Linked DNA regions of Oreochromis niloticus. Each later gene encodes a partner of the first gene's protein in a complex. Links are inferred from orthologs where the notes say so. Each region holds a gene or a part of one and is shown in the gene's direction. Other genes may lie near its edges.

The links. The genes of interacting proteins can lie anywhere in the genome.
Region 2: bud13 (region 1) and sf3b2 share a complex: the UniProt entries of both Homo sapiens proteins name them as parts of the minor spliceosome. The link is inferred for Oreochromis niloticus from reciprocal best matches to the Homo sapiens genes BUD13 and SF3B2.
Region 3: bud13 (region 1) and rbm48 share a complex: the UniProt entries of both Homo sapiens proteins name them as parts of the minor spliceosome. The link is inferred for Oreochromis niloticus from reciprocal best matches to the Homo sapiens genes BUD13 and RBM48.

The regions. Positions count from the first base shown.
Region 1 is NC_031975.2:13,772,450-13,780,377, forward strand, and holds the start of bud13 (BUD13 homolog), read left to right. Parts: upstream 1-4,886; 5' UTR 4,887-4,926; coding exon 4,927-5,069; intron 5,070-5,216; coding exon 5,217-5,307; intron 5,308-5,563; coding exon 5,564-5,648; intron 5,649-5,737; coding exon 5,738-6,298; intron 6,299-6,494; coding exon 6,495-6,799; intron 6,800-6,893; coding exon 6,894-7,002; intron 7,003-7,170; coding exon 7,171-7,309; intron 7,310-7,418; coding exon 7,419-7,600; intron 7,601-7,735; coding exon 7,736-7,817; intron 7,818-7,928. Other genes in the region: ribosomal L1 domain-containing protein CG13096, read right to left, coding at 494-542. UniProt on the Homo sapiens protein: Involved in pre-mRNA splicing as component of the activated spliceosome. As a component of the minor spliceosome, involved in the splicing of U12-type introns in pre-mRNAs.
Region 2 is NC_031967.2:24,041,198-24,049,215, reverse strand, and holds the start of sf3b2 (splicing factor 3B subunit 2), read left to right. Parts: upstream 1-4,886; 5' UTR 4,887-4,941; coding exon 4,942-5,071; intron 5,072-5,520; coding exon 5,521-5,567; intron 5,568-5,800; coding exon 5,801-5,851; intron 5,852-6,557; coding exon 6,558-6,782; intron 6,783-7,011; coding exon 7,012-7,062; intron 7,063-7,993; coding exon 7,994-8,018. UniProt on the Homo sapiens protein: Component of the 17S U2 SnRNP complex of the spliceosome, a large ribonucleoprotein complex that removes introns from transcribed pre-mRNAs.
Region 3 is NC_031985.2:22,586,870-22,593,272, reverse strand, and holds rbm48 (RNA-binding protein 48), read left to right. Parts: upstream 1-3,957; 5' UTR 3,958-3,983; coding exon 3,984-4,112; intron 4,113-4,202; coding exon of another isoform or gene 4,203-4,274; exon of another isoform or gene 4,275-4,329; intron 4,330-4,362; coding exon 4,363-4,553; intron 4,554-4,635; coding exon 4,636-4,781; intron 4,782-4,979; coding exon 4,980-5,509; intron 5,510-5,605; coding exon 5,606-5,668; 3' UTR 5,669-5,771; downstream 5,772-6,403. Other genes in the region: peroxisomal ATPase PEX1, read right to left, coding at 1-63, 224-330, 501-621, 765-884, 1,000-1,685, 1,837-1,951, 2,103-2,186, 2,287-2,433 and 1 more; clxn (calaxin), read right to left, coding at 5,786-5,836, 5,924-6,028, 6,163-6,314. UniProt on the Homo sapiens protein: As a component of the minor spliceosome, involved in the splicing of U12-type introns in pre-mRNAs.

The DNA.
Region 1 (7,928 bases):
AATAATTTATTGTTATCATTCATATGATGCCAAAACTGTCCACAAATTCCAATTTGTGCAACTACACAGGGAACATACAAACAGACATATATTAAAATTATTATAGTGTAATTGCTCCTTCAATTTAAAAAAAGGCTTTAGTCGATGAGCAGCAGCTAATAAATGTCACTATTTCAATGTTTTCCTCAGCCCTCACTGTAGTAATGCACTATTAAACTAATTAATTAGGATTGTTATAATTATATATAATATGTAATGCAAAGTCTAAATAATCCACTTTGCAAAGCAACTCTTTGCAAAGTGGATTAAAAGAGAAATATGTGTATTCCCAGTGAACCAGGAAATACACTGTACCACACGGAGGTTTTCAGGGGTCACAGACCAGACTCTGGGCTTGTGTGACTGAGGCCTTAAAACTTTGGAAATTGTTATGTGTAATAACAAACTGTCAGATAATCCATCTGAAAACTGAAAAGAGAAATCACGCTCTTACTTCGAATGGGGTCGTTATGCTGTCCGTCTCCACTCTCCATTTGATCCATGAAAACAGTCTGGAGGAAACTACAGTTGTCAAACTTTTAAGCTGACTGGTTTAAAACTTTCAGACTGTCCAAAGTCCTTTAAAATTGTTTGAAAACTTTTTAACAAGCTTTTTAAAAACACGATGTAAATGTAGAGTAAGCCAAGTGAATGCTGCGAGGAACGCTGCGAAGTGTTAACTGATATTTCTCCACCAATTACATCCAAATATAATGATGCAGAGATGAACGTCATAGGTTTACTTGCTACTTTTGCGTTCTGACTCTCCTGTGACGTCATCGAATGACGCCGCTGAACGTCCTGCAGGTAAACAAAACTGTCAGTGGTGACTACGGAACTTTTACAGGTGAAGCATTTTCCACAAAGCTTTGAAGGAATTACAGTGACAGATAGAGGCCACAAGATGGCGCCATTTTTCAGGTAGTGGATACCATTTGTTGGCTTTTTGGTTTATGTTCACACCACCCCATGAGTGTTTTGCATAAAGTTTAAAGTATTCCTCGGGTTCGTGATTTTTTCCCCTTTCTTGCTGTATTAAAATAAATTAATTCAAGTAAACTAGAGTGAGTCTTCCATCAGTAATTAATTATTGAAAACACTTTTCTACCTGAAGTGTATTTTTGCTGCTTTACATGTTTGCTGAACTGCTCCATGGCTTAAAAACCTTTTGATTAGTTAGACGCAGACTCTGTTGTTCATATAAAATCTATACTTTATATTTTCCATTTGGCTTTCCTGGATTGAAAAGTTTGAAAATAAAAGCATTCAACAGTCTGAGTGTCAAAATGTGCTGTGTAATGTATTTATACATATTTTGATGGTAGGAAAACAGGATAAAATGACTGTGTTTGGGCCTTGAGGTTAAATTTAATCTAAAAATGAACTTGTAGAAGTCGGAAAAAGATACAAGCTTGAGTGCAATACTCTGGTAGAGCTTCGTAAAGGGGGTATTTACACCCAACATCTTGGATGGTATCTACAGAATATATTTTAGTATATCTTTTGGGAACTTGGTTTTGTCTTGGAATAAGTAGTTGATCATAGATATCAATGACATACAGTTGTTGCAAAATGAAACACTCTCTGAACCTGCAGTTTGGTTCTTCCAAAAATGTAACAAAATAAAACAAGGACACAACCCTATTTAACACAGTGACCAACACAGCACTTGGTCACACACTGGCTGAGTTGCAGTGTGTGGCCAACCTGGTGACCAGCATGAGGTTGAAATGCCAGGCTGTTGTGGCTGCGTATTGTTCTTCCACATGTTAGTGACGCCCCTATTTGTTAAAAGAATAAAATATTAAATTGTGGATGTGGCTTGTTTTTTCAGAATTCAATAAATGACACCCAACAAGTGTCAATAGCAAAATAAACTGTTTGCTATTGGCAAATTTTTCATGGCCGCAACCAATGTTCCCTCTAAGCTGCGCACGTGCGCAATTGCGCACTGTTGGCACGGTCTCTGCGCAGAGAAAATCTGCGTTGCGCACACAAAAAAAATTCTAACCTGAATTGAAATTAAAGTAAATATGTGCCGACACCGGTGTTTTAGCTAGCAAAGCGTGGCTGATGTGGAGTTAAGCCACGTTAATGACAACGTGTACAACCATTGGAGATGTGAGCAGGACAGACGGAACAATTGACGGAAAAAGTGTGGACTTTATACCAGTTTTTAAATTGTGTTGATAGGCCACGTAAAACCAGAGTTATGATAAAAAAAAAAAAAAATGCAATGTTTGGTTTTCTTCCTGAATACTATCGTTGTTTATATTTACTGCGGGAAGAAACGGTAAAAACGGCGTTTTCTAAGGAAAACGCTCGAAAGCACTCTCCGCCTGTGAGCAAAGACGAAACCAAAACACCCCACACCCTTTCCCATTGGTCGCAAAATGTACCATGTCGACCAATCAAAACATGGCATTTAGTTGTTAAGAAACGGGGGGAAGTTTTAGGAGTGACGGCGGTGTTTTGAGATGTGAGAGATTTGAGACGTTTAGCGCAAATCTTGTGTAGTTAGTGTGTAGTTAGTGTGTAGTGTAGTCAATAGTTTTGTTGTGTGTGTCAGAACAATGAGGCGACTGCTGAATGTTACAGGTGTTACAGGAGTGATACATCTCCTGTTGTCAGGCCTGCAGGTATCAGGCTGTTTTTCTCCTTTATCTGATAGTGGACAGAAATTAATTTTTGGAGTGGCACAAATAATTTGTGTGGCATCAGATTTGATACAGAACACCTGATTGTTCTATAAGTATTTTGAAATGTTTGTTTTAAAAACCGCCTTGGCAGCATTTTTAGGTAAACAGCTGCAAAAAAACTTGTTTGCAAAACTCAGTTGCTTTTTTGAAGAAGTAACTATATAATTATTTGCCCAACATTGGTCATTATATACTGTATTTTGCAGACAGGACTCTCTCACGGACCACAGACTCATAATACAAGTCAGAGTTTTTTTTTTTTTTTTTTAAAAAGAAAGAAAGAAAGAAAGTTGTGTTTTCAAAATTGGAGTTCAAGTTATTTTTACTTCCAATAGTGTTAATATACTACACAGGTCATGAACAAGATTTTTTTTTTTTAAACTTTCATTGTAACTGGTCTAAAGCAGTTAATTAAAAGTAGTCTAACAGAAATGTAAATGCTGTAATTTTATTTTTATTTTTTTTATTTTAATTTTAATAAACCATGTAACTTGGATGGATTCAATGCTGGCGTGACCACAGTGCACACATCTAATGTCGCTCACAGTGATCCAAGGGATCGCTCAGGGAGTTTGTGTGTTCGCTCAGACACATGAAAAATTAGAGGGAACATTGGCCACAACCCACATACTCAACTCTCGTGCTCAACCCACATTTTCCTTACAAATTTGACACCACCAGTGTTTGGAAAAATGTACTTCTAAAAGTACTTTTATTGCACCGTGTTCATTCACTCATGAGTTGCTGTAACATGAATAAACAGTACCCTTGCACAATGACCAAAACTAACTGTTCTGGATGTGGTGTTTAGAGTTGCCTACCAGCGGGTTGAGGATCGAAGCCAGAAGCTTTAAGGTGTTATAGGTGACCGAGTTGATTATACAGACAATTGGTCCTAAAGGTACACCATATAGACTGTCCCTGGGTATAGCCTGTGGTATGAGGTCCGGTCAATAGCATTGGCTTTTTCTAACTGCTTCAGACAATCTATCACCCTCTTCCTGTTACCACTTCCTGGGCTTGTTTCAGGGGCTCATAAGTATTTCTGTCACTGAGCAGTGACAGTCATAAATGGTTAATGATCAAGAAACTACATCACAGCCCACTGTTTGCCAGTGATGCTAGTTTTAGTAATTCTGCAAAGGTACGGTTTTTAAGATTGGGGAAACCTGCAGTCAGTTGAGACTGAAGAAGTCACTTGGATGAGTGATGAAATGTTTCTAACACTGAAAACGTTACATCCAAATGAAGAGAATCCACTTTTTGGGATTCCATTACCTGGATGACTGAGCATGCATCAAGACAAAAGATCAGCAGCTTAGTAACTTAATCTATAATCTATAATGCTGCACTGTGTGTTTATCACTCTCATGACAGAGGTATTTGTAAGAGGTATTGTCTTTTATGTTGAGGCCATGGCATGACTCTGGCATGTTGTTTTTCATGATGAGTGACAGTGTATCTGATGTCCTTGTGTTGGTGTTGCATCTGTATAATAATGCTGGTAACAATAACAATAACAATAACAATAACAATAACAAGAAAAAAAACAGAATATAGAAGAAGGATATAGAAGAATATAGAAGAAGGTATAGAAAAGTAGGTATAAATACTTTAGCAGCAAAAGGGCATGATGACCAGCATTGATAATGTGACGGTGTCAGTAAGTGTCAGTAAACCTGGACCAATATTATTTTGATGACGTAGAAACAATGCCAACACATGACTGACAATTTTTTGGTGATAGTTTAACTTCCTCTTACTGATATCAATTAAAACTATTGGTGTTCTCTTATTTCATTCTCACTTTTGCACCTCAGCAAAAAATGTGGTTTATCACAGTTAACCCAATTTCAGTAAATTAATTAATGATTTAACAACAGGGCAATTACTGTTTTACACAGGGACAGGTAAGTTTGAACAGGTTTATTTCCCCCTTCACATAAATACTTTCACAGCACTGCACCTGGAGTGAAATTGGAGTTAACAATGGTAAATTCCTCAAAACCCTTTCATGATTTATTTGTATTAATTTATTTGTATTATTTTATTTGCTAACTATAGTTTACACTTTACAATTTAGGCATGCTTGCTTGCCTGCCTGCCTCAATCTCAGCCTACCCCTTGCATCCGCTATCCGAACTGGCATTCTTGAACCTCAGCGCCACCCGTAGTTTCCGACAACATAATGATGGCTGCTTCCACAGGCAGTAAGAACGGACAGGAACTCTCTAAGGCTGAGTACCTAAAACGTTATTTATCAGCCGACGATGATTCCCTGAAATCTAAAGGAAAGGCAAAAAAGAAGCGTCGCAAGGTTCCCGAGAAGGGGTGAGCCGCTGGCGACGTTTTAGTCGATTTTTGCTGCAGATTTAGCTGTGGAGCCGTTAAGCTAGTTAACGACTCTGGTGTTGTGCAGCGCTGTTTTCCTCACTGCCTAATGTAATAACTTACTCGTGTTTACTTCTTTGATTCAAGACTTAAAATAGTGGACGATGACATAGATTGGAAACAGATGGTCACACAGCAGACGGAGATTGAGGAAGAGGATGAAGAAGAAGCTCCAGTGGTAAGATGACGTTAGCTAGCTACCTGGCTAACCTGTCCATTCATTCAGTTGAAATGATTACGGATTAAACATATGCTATATGCGCTCCTGTATAGGAGGGTTTCTTTTAAACAATAAACATGCGCCTGATGATTTGGGACACTACTTAATGCTGAAATTTAATCTATTGTATTAAATGGGTATGCTTGTAGTTTGGATCATTTTTGTTATGTCACCAAGTTCTGTTTTAAAACTTAATCTTTTGTTAACTGTTCAGATTGCTGAGGTGATTGATGATCGACCCGAGGAAGTGAAACAGATGGAAGTTTTTAGGACCAGCAACAGATGGAAAGTAATTGGAGGTAAATAAGAAGTCACAGAAGTAGGGGGGATTTGTGCAATATTAAGTTAAGAATGTTGTTTACTATACTTTTACTTCCTCTCCTAAAAGTGGATCAAAATGACGACACAGAGGAAGGAAATGGAAAAGAACATCAAAATACAGAGGCTGGGTCATTAAGCAGAGGTCGACATGACTCACCAGAGTTGTCTTCAAAGAGAAGAGGACGGGATTCTCCTGTCAAAAAGACCCGGCATGACTCTCCAGATGTCTCGCCTCCAAGGAGACGTCGGCATGACTCTCCAGACATCTCTCCTCCAAGGAAAAGTCGGAAGGACTCTCCGGATGTCTCTCCTCCAAGGAGACATCGGCATGACTCTCCAGACATCTCTCCTCCAAGGAGACGTCGGCATGACTCTCCAGACATCTCTCCTCCAAGGAAAAGTCGGAAGGACTCTCCGGATGTCTCTCCTCCCAGGAGAAGACGTCACGACTCTCCGGATGTCTCTCTTCCCAGGAGAAGACGTCATGACTCTCCAGATGTCTCTCCTCCCAGGAGAAGACGTCACGACTCTCCGGATGTCTCTCCTCCCAGGAGAAGACGTCATGACTCCCCAGACTTGTCACCACCGAGACAATGTTCAGAAAAGTCAGAAAAATTGCAAAGTAAAGGTGAGTGATCCAATTAAATTGTAAATTGGAATCTGGTGTGGCATATGAATAAAAGTAAAAAGCAAAGGCCCATTTAACATGAGTTTTGTATGGAAATTTCTTTTTAAGGCATACCTTGATCTAATAATAAATCTTTAATTTTTGTTCAAAAGTCATTACAAAATGAAAATTAACAAATTAACTGTGTCTTTGTCAGATTCAGCCTCCAGCAAAAGCAAGCTCAGCTCATCCTTGTTAAGTAAAAAACGCTCACCGGATCCTCATCGGTCAGCGGTGGCTAAGAAGGGTCAGAATAGACATGATTCAGACTCGGATCCGTCTCCCCCGAGGAAAAGGCCCCTAAAGGGAAATGCCTCTGACTCCGACCAATCTCCTCCAAGAAGGCCCTCAAAAACTAAACGGGGCTCAGACTCTGACCAGTCTCCACCCAGGGTGCGGCCACCGAGTGGAAGGGACTCGGATGGAGATTTGTCACCTCCTCGTAGGCCAGGCCAGTCACAGGTAAGCAGACTGTGTTGGAACAAAGAGTAATGTAAAATCTGATTTCGCTCAGATTTCTTTCTTTTTTTTCATTGTCTTTTTATTTTATAACCAGGGCCAAAGGATGCTATCTGGTGGAAAGGCAGGCCTGGTTTCTGTGGACATTTTAAGGAAAGAGCAAGAGGAGAACAGACGTAGAGAGAAACACAATCAGCCACTTGAAGGTTTCCTCAACTTTTCTCTCTTAAGATTTTTTTACACCCATTGATGGAAGAGTTTCATACAGCTTTGCGTCTCATTTCAGCTTATCATTTATATTGTCGTATTTTATTTAGTTCTAAAATTAAATAATGTCGTTTCTACATACTTACCCATTCATCCCCTATGACCAGATGAATCACGTAATGCTCAGACGATTTTCAGAGACAAAAGTGGCAAAAGGAGGGATCTGGATTCAGAGAGAGATGAACAGAAGAAGAAAGCTGGAGAAAAAGCGGCAAGAGACGAGAAATACGCTCAGTGGGGAAAAGGGTAAATGTGCATGATCATTTCAAATATCACAGTTTATGAGATTGTATCCACATAAAAGATTATAAAAGCATCATGTGGTTCAATGGTTTATGTTAAAATGTATGTATAGGTTGGCACAGAGCCAGATGCATCAGCAGAAACTTGAGGACGCGCTGCACGAAGCCCAGAAGCCACTGGCACGTCACCGTGACGATGAGGATCTTGACCGCATGTTGAGAGAACAGGAAAGAGAAGGCGATCCTATGGCTGCAATGCTCAGGCGTAAAAAGGACCGTGGCACAAAAACACAAGGTGTTTAACATTACATATGTTTTATTTTATTTCACCAGGTCAATCCTTGTAAGAAGTTTTTAAATAACAGCAGTCTTGTTTTTGCTACTGTTTGTATTTTTATTTATTTGTATGTTTTGTTTTGATTTTTTGTAGATAAACCTCAATATAAAGGCCCTGCTCCACCTCCAAACCGGTTCAATATTCCACCGGGGTACCGCTGGGACGGAGTTGACAGGTAGAGTTTGTACATCAGTGACAGAGGAAAACTGTTGAGGACAGATTTGTAGTTTAATATTGAATGTTTTTAATACACACATCACTTTGTCATTTTGCAATTGTGATCATA
Region 2 (8,018 bases), on another chromosome or scaffold:
CCCAAGTTTGTCACAGCAGAGACGTCTTCCTCAGTGCAAAAGATCCAATTCCAGATAACACTAGTCCTCGTCTGTTCTTTTTTTGGCAAGTTCCCACCGTGCAGGATCACAGCCTGTCCTTATCACAGCAGTGGCCAAACCCTGCACAAAAAAGAAGCTGAAAGTGAGGAACTGAGCACAAGAGTAAAAAAGTTATCCAGTGAGATACAAGTCTGTACATACCAATATCTACACATACATCAGAGAACAAAAGCACAGGCCGTGAACACCCTCCATGTGAAACGAGGTCTCCTTGTTTCTTTGAAGTCAACCACGCATGCATTCTTAGAAAAGCCTAACACACATGGCACATCTGTGCCAACTTTTACTGTGGTGCACTGAATGTGTGCACAGTGTAAGTGAGAACTACATTTAAAGTCAATGTTTAATCAGAAAAGCACATTAACAAAGGAGGATGCGTGTGTGGTTTTGTGTGAATTACGATAAAGGTTGCATGAGGCAAAGAACAAGCACGAGCTCTCTGTGTGACGCTTTAATTAAGCAGAGGCTGGGATGAGGAAGCATAAACTATCATTAGTGCCACCACAGACAGAACTGGAGCTTTGGACTGAGTTAGTCTCACTGTTTTGCTTTGAGTCTGCGTCTTTTCCATCAAACACAGAGTGGAAGGCGTTTATTTTTATCTTCTTTCAACTCTGTCAGCTTTTTTTTTCACTCCCTCACCTCAGATATGCACATAAAGATACGCACTTCCTGTTTTCAGTCCACAGGTGTCCGTCACAGCAGAAACAGAAAAGAATGTGGCTTTCACTGGCTTGTGTAGCAGTGGGGCCATGTAAGAGTTTCCTCCTCCTGCTAACAGTGAACCACACCCACAAAGATGGCCCATTTGACTGTGTGAAGAATGTTGCTGCTAAGAGAGCCAAAAACTGAGCATGCAGCTGCGACAGCAGGTTTCTCATCTGTTAAATTACACAACACAAAGACTTGTCTTTGCACATGCTAGCATGATGAAACTACATTAGGATCATGTACATGAGTACTACACATTATTTCTGCTAATAGACCCCTAAAGCTACAGCTAGCAAAGCTGGAAGCGCTGATTAATGGCTGCACCCACAACTATTGCTGCCATTATATTTCTTACCACAAGCATTATTACTCACAATAACAAAGGCACTTTTGCCACCGCTGTAACAACTACTGTTGCTTCCTCCTGCATTCTTTATAAAGAGCTATTTAGCATCTGTACCACATATTAGCATTAGCATCACTACAAGTGCCAACACTATTTTTCTTTATTATATAAATGTATGTACAAATTAAATGTGGACATGTAAATACCTTTAGTGAAGTGGCCTCTAGAGTTACACCTGTTAAACTGTGTGTTAATGCAAATATCTAATTAGCCAATCACATGGCACCAACTTAGTGTATTCAGGTATTTAGTCATGGTCAACACGACCTGCTGGAAATCAAACTGAGCATCAAAATGAGGAAGAAATGTGATTTAAGTGACTTTGAATGTGGCACGGTTGTTGTCAAACAGGCTGGTCTGAGTATTTCAGAAACTGCTAATCTGCTGGGATTTCCCCACACAGCCATCTCTACAGTTTACACAGCGTGAGCCAAAACGGAGTAAATTTTGGCGAGGGGCAGTTCTCTGGTGAAAATCTTCTTGATGTCAGAAGTCAAAGTGGAAATGTCAGACTGCTTCGAGGTGATCGGAAGCCAACAGTAACTCAAATTACTGCTCTTTATAACCAAAGTGAACAGAAGAGCGTCTCTAAACACACAACACAAACACAACAAGCAGACGGGCTACATCAGTGTGACACTCCCATCAGCTAAGGACAAGAAACTGAGGCTACAGTTCGCACAGGATTTGCAGATTTGGACAATAGATGATCGGAAATTTTCTGCTCTAATGAGACTCAATTTTAGCAACAACATTAGAACGTTACTGTCAGAATACGGCAAAAATATGAAAGCATGGATCCATCCTGCTGACCATGTTTATCCCTTTATTACCATTAATAAAATTGTCCCTGTTCTTCCCCTCACTGCTGAGTCTAACCCTAACCCTAACAAAAGTCTGGTTAAAAATGAAAGTTTTCAGATTCATGTCAGGCCCATGTGTTTGTTTCTTACCTCTCCTCTAAACTGCACCTTCTAGTTTGATCCCAGGAACCTGTCCAGACAGACCCTTCTGTACAAGCTTTATAGTCAACCTCCTACGAGGGATGTGCCAAATGTGGCGGAAAGGAGGAGTTACACCTGATTTCTACATCTTTTTTTCCCCACTGTTAACGTAGTCGCATTGTCACCTGAATGAAATGATTGAGCACTCCTATAACTTAACTTTTCCTAGAACGGGAGGAGCTACTGACTGTAGGCAGAAGTGTGTCAGGTGACTGCTCTGTGAGGAAAAAAAACACTGCCCCTCACAAAACACACCCATTACCATGAAATACTTGCAAACCACAAACAACTACTCATACGCTTTCAATATGCATGTCACTCTAAGTTAGTTTTATGACAAGACACCCATGGCCCCATTACTTAAACCAACAACAAAGGATCATAACGTGTTCTGTTAAAACCTCAGTTGTGTGGTTTTTACCTCTGCTGGCTGCCATCGGGCACATTTTACCCAACAACAGTTCAATCTGACTCTAATGAATATTTTACTTCCCCTCACATGAGAAATACATGCAGCCTGCATACCCTCACGCCACATCCCAACACACACACGCGCTTAGCCTCCCCCTCAATGTGGGTGGTAGCACAAGAGAATGTGCTACCGTATCGTCTAGCAATGCAACACTTAGTATAATCACAAGAAAACTGAAAATGTGCACTTTCATCCAACCTATAACCCAGCTCTTTTATTTATTTGTTTTGGCACAGCAGCAGGATGTTTCCTTTAACATAGGGGTTGTGCAGCCATGCAAAGGCTGTGAAAGCACTGCAATCATCAACTATGTGTGACTAATGCTTTTCTGCCGATGACTGTCTGAGTCCAGTTTCCTCCTCACGACTTGGGCTGATTAAATGCATGCTGATAGTAAATAAGTGTTGCCTTTGGGAGGGTGGAGTCAAGAGTTTGTGGCATGAGTAAGCCTTCTGAGCGCCTGTGGTGTATTTCTGCATGCAGGGGTTCATGTTCCAACACAGTTTACTGTGTGATAAAATATCCAAAGTGTTTGGAGAAAATAGACCAGCAGAGAGATCACACACACACACACACACACACACACACAGTGACCGCTGCAGGGAACATGCTGACTTCTGTGTGAGAGTCATTTTTCTCATCAAAGTCTGCAGGGAAAACAAGCAGCCTTTAGAAACACTGGGCTACAATTAGAGAATACTCGTTAGAGCATGCGCCTCAGCTCCAGCAGATTTTGCTCTTAATAAAACTTTAAGTTGGGCGCATGGCTCACGCAGATAAGCAAAAGCTCCTATGACAGATAGATAGGTGTGGTCCCGGGGAAAAAAATGAAATGAAAGAAATAAACAATGAGCAACACGAACAGCTGTTTGACGAATTTCCTATCCCTTCACTTCCATCAGTCACGGTGAAAAAAAAAAAATTAATAAAGATTAACACAGGAAAAGCAGATTTTGCGGAATCAACAGCACACTAATGTGGGCTAGTAATATTTCTTGGTTATTACTCTCGTGAAACCAGGGCCAGACTCGTGTTTGACTGTAGTTTGTTCCGGCTTTACAAACTAAACTAAACAACAACTCACAAACTTCCAGTTCTGCTCTTAAAAAAAAAAAAAAGTTCAGACCAGGAGGACAAACGCGTTTTGCACAGTGCACTTCCCTGCGCCCCGACACTAAACTGCTGATGTAAAGTGATGTTGAAGGATGAATCTCATATTTACCTTGCAATGCGTTTCCTCTGAAAAAAAAAAGTTTGTTACGGAAATTCAACATGCAACTTCACAACATGCTTTCCGTTCCATGTTTAGTATGTACCCTTCCTTGTACCCTCCCCTCTTCTCTATACAGAAGAAACGCCCTGCTGCCGCTATGTGTGCCCTCGTTCCAATGCGACTGCGCAGTGCCCGCAAGTCATAAAACTACACTGAAAGGGAGGGATTCGTGCGCTGTTCTCTCATGTAGTGCTCTTTGTTTGCAGCAGATTTTACTTGATGCTGTGGTTCATTATGGTAGTGCGCGTTTATATGCATTATGCTGCCCTTTAAAAGATAAAAATCCCTTTCTATGGTTTTACAAATACTGAGCCTAACTAAAAAGGACACATTTACCAAGTGCTAGACTCCATTTGAAGTTTAGTTACGCACAGTATTTCTATTTTATACCTACTTTAAAAGGTCAGTAGACTTGTAAGCTATAAAATGTAAAAATAGGGAAGTTCTTTATTCTTCTAACGGCAACATTTAAAGGATTTCAAGTCTAAGCAGCCAACGGTGACATCTAGCGACTCCAGTTAGTAGCGCGTTTATGCCCATCAGAAAAGAACAAATAGTGAAAATAAATTAATAAGATCGTACTGAAGTTGTAAACAGTGTAAACTATCACAGTGTATGGGGGGTGAGGGGGGTGATTGGGGGCACAGATTAGCGTCTGTTTGTGTGGGATTGTATTAGTCTGTATCTTTTTACCTGATGGCCAAAGTTCAAACACAGGGTGACTCGGTTGTGTGATGTGTCTGAAAGGAATGCCTTTTATTCCGCACAATGCATTGGACGCAGCTGAAGAATATGATTTTTGTCCCATTTTATGTTTTGTCCTATTGGGAATGTATATTTTGAAAGTACTTGATCTGACTGAATGTTGCAGTAGCAGTGCATTTAATTAAAAAAAAATCTCTCTTCAGACTTCACGTCCCGTCATGCATTGCGTGTTTCCCCAGCTCTCGCGTGTCCTCCGCTGCCGCCGTTGTTCCATTGAGCTAACCTCAACATGGCATCCGACGGACCGCCGGGCACCGACTCTCTCCCGTCCGATTTGGGGAGTGCTATTGCAGCTCTGAATACATGGAGCATCCCGGAGCTTCAGGGCAAGCTGGCAGAGCTTGGAGTACCCAACATGGGTAAGAAAAACACCCGCGTAGAGCACTACGCCTTATCACAGGCTATCGGCAGCTAGTCCGTTGCTAACTTAAGCTAGTAGCATTAAAACGCAACGCTTCCGTTGCAAGGAGTTTAAGCTAGGCCTGAGTTATGTTTACACTCTGTTAAGTAAATTTCATGCACTAATTAATCATGTAAGTGACATTTTAACTCTTGTGATTCATGTTGGGTAAAACTAAGAGCGTTTGGCTAGGTTTTTTCCTTCGTATTACCTCTGTAACTAGTTCAGCGGTTTAGCTGCTTTGCTAACTTGATATGGAGGGGTCAACATTAGCCTACTTTTCTGTAACTCGTTAACTTCAAAATGAGTTCTGAGTTTTTCTGGCACATTATTGGTGCACATTTTACACGCCTAAAGTGATATCAGCGTTGTTTAACAGCCGTTTCCGATTCATTTTCTCCTCTTTAGGTCCCAGAGAGGAGTTGATTGACAGACTGAAGGGCTACATGATGCAGGTAAATGCATTTGGATTCGGTTTTATTCAGTCAACGTGCAGCTGATTGGAATGATGGTGCTTTTTGTAACTATTGATGACCTTTCACGCTACGCTAGAGTAGTAATGAATAAAGTCTGGGCAGAAGTTAATAGTATATCCAAACTATTCATCTATTTCTCGAACCTCTTCTCCTTTTCATTGAAATCAAAGAAACTGTTCTGGTTTGTGTTTTTTACATGTGTCCCTCCACAGACTGGGATTCTTCTCAGCAAACCTACTGATGATAAACAAATGGGCTCCCAGGTAAATTAGAGGGAAAACACTGATGTCTGTTTAATACTGCAGCATACAATGGTGAAAAACATTACAATGTGTCGATGTAATGTTTTCTATATTTTGATTTACGTGTTTAGATTGTGCAGTTTTTGAGCACTAGACCAGCTCTCAAGCATATTTGAGGCTGTGTGTGTGAGTTTGCCCATCAGGTCTACATGTGTTTTGTAGACTTGGAGAAGGCATTCAATCTGGTTCCTTGCAGTGGGGGATCTTCCATAATATGGGGTGTATGGCCCATTTTTACAAGCCATTCGGTTCCTCTGCAACTGTTACTAAAGCTGTTACAGAGTGTAACACATTTGCTTAAAAAGCAAAAGATCCTGTTGTAGGAGGAGGCACAATTCTCTTTGGGGTTCTGTCAGGATTGGCTTCTTCTGAATCACATATCACAGAGCTACCTGCTGTTTTAACTCCTTAAGGGAGCAGCCGAAAGTCGCTTTTATGTAATCATAACTTTTCAGTCTTGCAAATTTGTTACAGTTGAGTATGTTTTGTCATGTGTTTGTAGAACTATGTTGAATGGTGTTAAGAAACACTTCACCAAAACAAAAACGAGAATTCACTGAACGCCTTAATATCTCACCTAGAAAGTCACACAGTCTCAGTGTGACTTCACTTCAGTCCTTCGTGCTTCCCATTAACATCACAGTCTCCTGTATTTCCTTCTCTCTAGATGCCAGGTATCCCTGCCATACCCCCAATGCCCATGCCGCCCATGCCTCCTGGTATGGGTATGATCCCAGCTATGAGCATGATGCCTAGTGGGCCCCCTCCACCTGGTATACACATGGGCATGGACCACTCTGTTTTGCCACCTGGCCTCACACAGGATGATCAGCTGAAGATGGCTCAGCATAGAGCAGCCATGTTGTTACAGCAGGAGGAGAGAGCCAAGCAGGTGAGGATAGCTGGACCTAAAGTTTACTGTTTGACTCATTTTTGCCAATTTGTTTTGCATTTATTAAACAAAGTAACATTCTGAGATGTGATCATAACGTAAACCACAATTTGACAGGATAAATGTTTTTTATAACTTCATAACAACACGGCAATAACTGCACTACACAGAAAACAGTTTAAAAAGCATGTTTTGTCTGACTGGCTGTTATTGTTTGTGGCTATCTCAGGGTGATTCCCATGTCATGGATGAACAAGATCTTTTGGAGCAACAGAAAAGGGTAAGAGGATGAAGAACTCTAAATTGAAATATTTTCTCAATGAGCTGCGTACATTTTCTCGGCTGGAAAAGGGTGGAAAAGCCAATTCAGTGTGGGAACACGTTGCTACCTCAAGTATCTAGTGCAGGGGTGGGCAACTCCAGGCCTCAAGGGCCGGTGCCTGCAGGTTTTAGATATCACGCTGGGTCAACACACCTGAATCAAATGATTAGTTCATTACCAGGCCTCTGGAAAACTTCAAGACATGTAGAAGAGGTAATTTAGCCATTTAAATCAGCTGTGACTAGATCAAGAACACATCTAAGACCTGCAGGACACCGGCCCTTAAGCCCTGGAGTTGCCCACCCCTGATCTAGTATCTAGTTCACAAACAAGGGAGAGTGGAGCGGGAGGGTGACAGATGAATCAGCATGGTGGATGCTGTGAGAAGCTGAATATGAAAGCAAGGCCATGAGTTTACCAGTGTGTTGGCACCCTCACGTGTGGTTACATTTTGTGGATAGTGACTGAAAGAATGACACCAAAGAAATGACGGGCTCGGCTCAGTCTTAGAGATGGGGTGAGGAGTTCAGTCATTCACGAGAGGTCAGAATAGAACCACTTCCACCAGGTGGTTCAGGCATCTGAATGTCATTGCCTCCTGGACCGCTCTAAGTTGAGGTGTTTTGGGCACCCTCTACCATCAGCAGGCCCCGGGGCAGATCCAGGACATGCTGGAGAGATTACATTTCTCAGCTGGCTTGGGAACACCTCCAGTCCCTCTGTAAGAGCTGGAAGAGGTGGCTGGGGTGAGAGTGTTCTGCTCAGACTTCTGACCCCGTGACCCAGAGCTGGATAACCACCAGAAGATGGAATTATAATTTTGTGTGTGTGTGTTGTGTGTATGTTTCACCTTTGGGCTACTAAAAAATTTGAAACATTTTCATTTCAGGCTGCAGTGCTGCTGGAACAGGAGC
Region 3 (6,403 bases), on another chromosome or scaffold:
TTCTGGGTGGGGTGTTTCAGCTCCAGGCTTCACAGCTGGGGTGGTTACTGGCTCTCTGTCTACCTGAAGATGAGAAAAAGACATAACTGTGAACAACTTCAAAGACTTTTTTTTTCTCTTAAAAACGTGTTGAATTTTTTAATAAAAACTGCATGAAGCAATCGGTTTACATATAAACTGTTTAAAGACACAGATATATAATTCTCCATTTGCATGGTGATACCTGTATGTCTTTCTTCTGGATAACTGTGGGTGCTAGAAGAAACAGCTGATCTGAAGCTTCAGTCTGTGGTTCTGGTTTCAGCACAGTTAAAGCAAACTCTAGCTTTGCTATGGAAAAGAATAAAAAGTGAAGGGACATTATTTTTTAAAAAAAAGCTAATTTAAGATATTTATTATTACCCCTTTTTTTAACCTTACATAGCCATATGCAAATCTGTCTGTACATGATTTATAAATACACTTCTTTGGCTTGTAACGGAAGTGCAGGAATGAATCACCATCAGTTCCATGTAGGAGGATGGTGCCAGACCGTGCTGTCAGACAGGCTAAAGGTTCGTGACTCTGTGTGTGCAGCCAACCAAGGAAAGCTGTCTGGATCTCCTCATCATCCTCCTCAGGCTGAAGAGAAAAATGTCAAAAAAAATCAGATGGACAGAAAGGAAAGAAGCTGAACAGATTTTCTGCAATTCTGATCAAATTATATGTCCTTGTACTTCATTTACATCCGACACTGTAACGCAGATGTACATTCCAGCACTCACCAGTGGATTTAGGGGTTGTAGGCAAATAGTAGAAGCTACTTTGATAGCTGATTTCACTGACTTAATTCTTACTGTTGAATGGGCAGGGATATTCAGCCTGCTGGCCAGAGGCTCTGGAATCTAAAAAATGAAAGATACAAAAATTTTAACCAAAACAGAAAGAACTAGGGCACTGCGGTATAGCTAAAATACTGTTTATAAACTATATATTCTCCTCTTCAGACACCATACTCACCCATACTCTTCCACTGTGAATCTCTCCCTTGCTTCTTTCCTTGCATCCAAACAGCTCGGTACAATGGCACACTGCCCTAACCACCATGGCCTCCTCTTCCTTCACCTCCTCTCCTTCAGGTGTAGCAGTCTCCTTAGTAACTCTTGGCTTCTTCTTTTTCTCCATTGCCTGCTTGGTTCTGTCCCTCATTTCTTTGGGGGATGGGACTTTGGAGAGAAGGCCATATGTAATTGAGGAGTGACCTTCACTCAGCCTGGCATTGAAACTGTGGCTCCAAGGAAAGATGTGAATAGCATTAGTTGCAACGTGGCTTATAGTGCTGAGAGAGTGGGGAGGTGAACCGCACACTCTGTACAGAGAGTCCGTAAGGAGAGCGGGGATTTCAGGTAAAGGCGGTTGTTCCTTAACTGGGTCATAAGCGCCCTTTATCATGTGATGAAAAAGGCTTTTCAGGTCTGCTATGCCACCCCACTGGTGGCTGTTAGAGGTGGAGGAGGTACTTTCTGATGATGGTCCTGAAGGGGAGGAGAAATCCATGTTTGGCTGTCTGTGAAAACTTTCTGAGTTTGGGTTGGCTTTTAGTTGAGAATGTGTGTGGGTGCCAGTTTCTGCGCGGATCTTCGGGGACACAACAAGTTCTGTGAACTGCTCCAGGCGACCGTAGGGCACACGTGGAGAAAGTGAAGCTGTGCAGAATTTAAAAAAAATTAAACTGTATTATATAAGTCAAACATTTAAAAATGAAGTTGAGCAGGCAAACCATTATAACTGCAATATTTCTGTGTAACATGTTATTTGATAAACAACATATAACAGAATAATTGTATCAAAACTGACCTATTCGGATAAAGATTACCGTGTGGTTGTCCACCCACACAGGAAACACGGCATCTTGGAAAACTACTCTGATCTGATCCAGTAGTTGCAGCTCCAGTGCAGAACTGTGGAGCTCCTGGCGATGTCAGTCACACAAAAGTGATATATTAATACTTCTTAAGAGTGCTTTAAAAAGGAGAAGTCACCTTGTAGTTATTAGAGTGTGTAAAATAGTGCAAATTGTATGAAGACAAGTTTCACACACTGTATGTAACTAAATTACCCACCAGGATTTCCCAGTCATCAGCTGATACAGGCTCCACAAACACCCGATCCAATGATGAGACCTGATGACATGGCCTTAAGAAGCCCTGAGGGAAAACAAGCCAGTAAACCAAACAACTAGTAAGTCCAAAATTAGCTTCTTCTGTAAATACAGCGAAGAACAGATTCCTCACGGAGGGACTCTACCTGCTCTCCATCTGTCAGGCCCTGCTTCTCTCCTAGCTGCCGACACAGCTCCACTTTGTGGCTGTCCAGGCTAGAGCTGGCTCTGTTTTGAGTCCAGGTGAGGAACACTGGAGGCCCATGACCACAGGACAACTCCAGAGGCTGGTTCTGAAAAAGACCGTAAATGGGTTGACTGTGAATGCCACTGTATACAAAAGTATTCTAAAGTCATTGCCAAGTTGCATCCCATGCAACTTGGCAATGACCCCAAATTAGAGCAGCAAATCTACAACAGAGTGGCTGTAAAGGAAAGGAATCAGTGTGTTGCAATGGCCCAGTCAAAGTCCAGACCTCAGCCTGATTGAAATGCAGGGTCTAAAGAGAGCTGTGCATAAAAAAATTCATGCAAACACTGTGAAGTAGAGTGGGACAAAGTTTCTCCACAACACTGCGAGACACTAATAAAGACATAAATAAAATGGTTACTTCAATTTAGTGCTGCTAAAGGTGGTTGTACCAACTTTACTGAATCAAGGGGTGTACTTTGTTTTTCACATGACTGCATGTTTGCTGAAGCACCTTTTGTTTACCCAGACTATACCATGACCATCATCCTTGCTTGCAACCATGCTTGAGAAAACAAATCCTCCTCACTCAATCCATTTTACACAGTTTAGACTAATAATGACAGGGTTAACCCAGTTCTGAATCCTTTGTAATTAAAGGTCAAACTCAAGGAGAGAAAGCCACGAAACAGGAATTCCTGTCAGCCAAAAAAGTGCAAATATAAACAGAAAGCTCTCATCAGAAAACCACTGTTCATTCATAACAGCGAACAGGACACAAGCTAGAAAAGTCATTTAAAAAATACCCTTAGACCCCGGATTCATTTCTAACACAGTCCTTTGCCTCCACCAAGTGAAACCGTAAAGGAACTGCTACGAAAACAGCTCCACCGAGAAGGAAACAAATACTGAAATACCAATTGCTAACTACCCTCTCTCTCCATATGCTGAAGTATTGTGTTTGACTCAGCTCCTCTTCTATCTATATTCAGAGCATGTTTCCAGCCGGGCCGAAGTGGAGTGAATGGAGTCATGAAAAACTGATCTTTCAAATTCATTTGGTCTAAAGAGCAGCCTGACGCGAGGCTGAAGTCACATTTTATTTTGTAATGTGAATAACTGTCAAAGGGTCTCGAAAATTAATTTACAGCAGCATTAATTTTGTTAAAAAATAAAAGAATAGAACAACACACAGAACGGGCCAACATTTTAGCTAAAAATGGTTTAAGTCAACAAAGCTTCTACTAATTTTACCTAAACGATAGTGCTAGGTGGTTAGCTAGGCTATCTTACCTCGTTCAGGGAAAGCTGTGATATTAGCTTCAAGGGAAGGTGTAAAAAGCAGTTTTTTGCGTTGTTAAAAGTGACCGTTACGGGTTGAATGCCCTGATTGCTAAACATGATTTTCACATAGTTTTCTATTTCGCGTTCAACGCGTCAAGCAAGCTGCACCGCTAACATCAAGTGTGTGACAAACTCATAGTCGATCGATGTGCTCTGTGTGGGCCAGGCCAGACCAGAGTAGCCGATATTCGGTTGAACGCATTTCAGAATAAGACATCCAACGACGCCATGCTTTGAATGAATCCTATTCAACATGAAAATGAACCTTTATTTTGAAATGCATCAAGTGAAAAGTTCATTTCCACAAACATGGCGGCTCCCGTCAACAACAGCTCTGGCTGTTGGAGAGTCCCGGAGGTTTACAAACATCACGAACAGCGGAGAGTGTGCATTTCTCGACCAAAATATAGGGAAGGAAGAAAAGCCAAAGCAGTTAAGGTAAGAAGACGCTTCTGTTTAGAAATATTTGACCAAAAGAGCGTATCTTAAGGTGTGAGACACCCCCTGCTACGTGGGAACGCCACTTACAGTGTTGTTAAAAAACATCTGCTCCCGGATTTTATGGACTCCAGTGAACCACAGTGAGAGCCTTGACCACATCTAGATGATAAATATAACCACTATTCGCAGTTTTCACATGAGCATTTTTCCATCAGTGTACCGCAGTCAAGTGTTGCATTATTTGCAGGTTTACACCATAAATTTAGAGAGTCGTTACCTGATGGTCCAAGGAGTCCCAGCGATTGGGGTTATGACTGAGTTGATTCAGCTGTGTGCCCTTTATGGAGCTGTGGAGGAGTACAGGCCCCTGGACGAGTATCCTGCCGAGGAGTTCACAGAGGTCTACCTCGTAAAGTTCCAAAAACTCACAAGTGCCAGGTACAAGATGTAACTTAGACTGTTCATTATGCCTAACTTGCAAAGTCTGAAGGACCTTCTGAATAATTTGGTTTTGTTTCAGAGCAGCAAAGCGACGCATGGATGAGAAAAGTTTCTATGGTGGTGTGCTGCATGTGTGCTACGTCCCCGAATACGAGACTGTGGAAGACACCAGGCTCAAGCTGCAGGACCGGAGGAGCTATGTCATCCGGGCTGCTCAGAAGAGAGGTATAATTTTATATCTATAGGTTATATTTTGCCTCACAAAAACGACCACTCCAATGAGAAACATCTTAGTTCCTCATTAGTCCAAGCAAACAATTTCCACCATTTCCCTTTTGCACTTTTATTTTAATTTGACTCGGATCTTTTTGAATGATGGGGATTTCTAAACTTTTTTTTCTGTCTCATTTTATTATTGCAAAGTGAGAGAAAGGGAACAGAAAGAGGACACACAAGAGGAGCCTTCTTCATCAGAAACAACTACCATGTCAGATGACAACATCCTCACACACAAACAGACCTCTGGAAATGACAATACAAGGGAGACTTCAAACGTCAGCCACTATTTAGGCTTTCCTCCACTGCCATTACCTCCCCAAAAACATCATTACCATAGGCCTAAAAGTCAACATTTACCGACAGAGGATAAAATGGGGACTTTACACAATACCTGTGCTGGCACATTCGAGCAGCGAGAAGGGAGTTCAAGGAGCAAACAGACCTTATTGAGCAGACAGGCAGCACATCAGGCTGCGGCAGTCAGATTTCTTCCTCGGACCACACACTTGGAGAAACGGAAACGCAAAATGGAAGAGGCTGAGGAGCCCTCCAGTACTGTTTCTGGGCAGAATGAGCCTTTGATTGGACCAAAACTACCAGAACCATCCAAACTGGACATGGAGGATGAGTCACTGAACACAACTGTCAGCCTGATCAGGAACACAATGAAGCAGGTACATGTGATTATATTGTTTTGGTTGTAGTTAAGGACAAAATAATATTTTCACTATGATCTAAATCAGTTAAACCAGTTTCATCGTCTCTCCTAGGTGACATCGAGTCCAGACATCAAACCAGTGGAGAAGAAGGTCAAACCACGCCGTCGGATTTGATAGAGCAGGACTTTTTATTTATTTATTTTTTATTAAAAAATTTTGCATCACAGGACCATCTGCCATTGAGGTTAATATTAAAGATGTTTAGGCTGGGTATGGAGTTATGTGATTTGTTTATTGTTCCATTTGTTCCTGAAATACGCGTCCCTCAAACATCTCGATTCTCTGAAAAAATAAGAAAAGCAGACTGTAAGATTGAGAATTTTTGATGGGGAAATTTAAAGAGCTTAGAAGCTTCTCATTACAGATTACCCTGAAGTCAGGAAGGCAGGTTCCAAAAGCTTCCAGCAATAGGTTTTCATCTTTCACAGCCTTTTCAAAATCTTCAAAAGACAATTTGCCATCATGGTCATAGTCCTGTGGGAGGAAGCACCGTTGGCAGAGCTGGTAAACTATTTACAGACCTAAGAATTTTTTAAATAGTGTTTTGGGTTTGTTTTTTGTTTTTAAATCATGTGTAAACAGTTATATCTGTGCAGCAAACAGCTCACCATCTTCTTCAGTATGATCTCCACCAGGTCTTTGATTCCTTCGTCAGGGTCCTCCTCATTGGGTTGTCTGATGAGCCTGCCCTTCAGCATATGAAGCATCTCCTCTCTAGAGATGGCGTTGTCACCATTCAGGTCGTACACAGTGAAGCAGTCTGAGCCATGCCAAACACAGGGATTTTTTTAGGTAGATAAAGCTACATGTGTGAAGGTGTGAGAGTGAGCTTAAGCAAAAAAAAGTAAG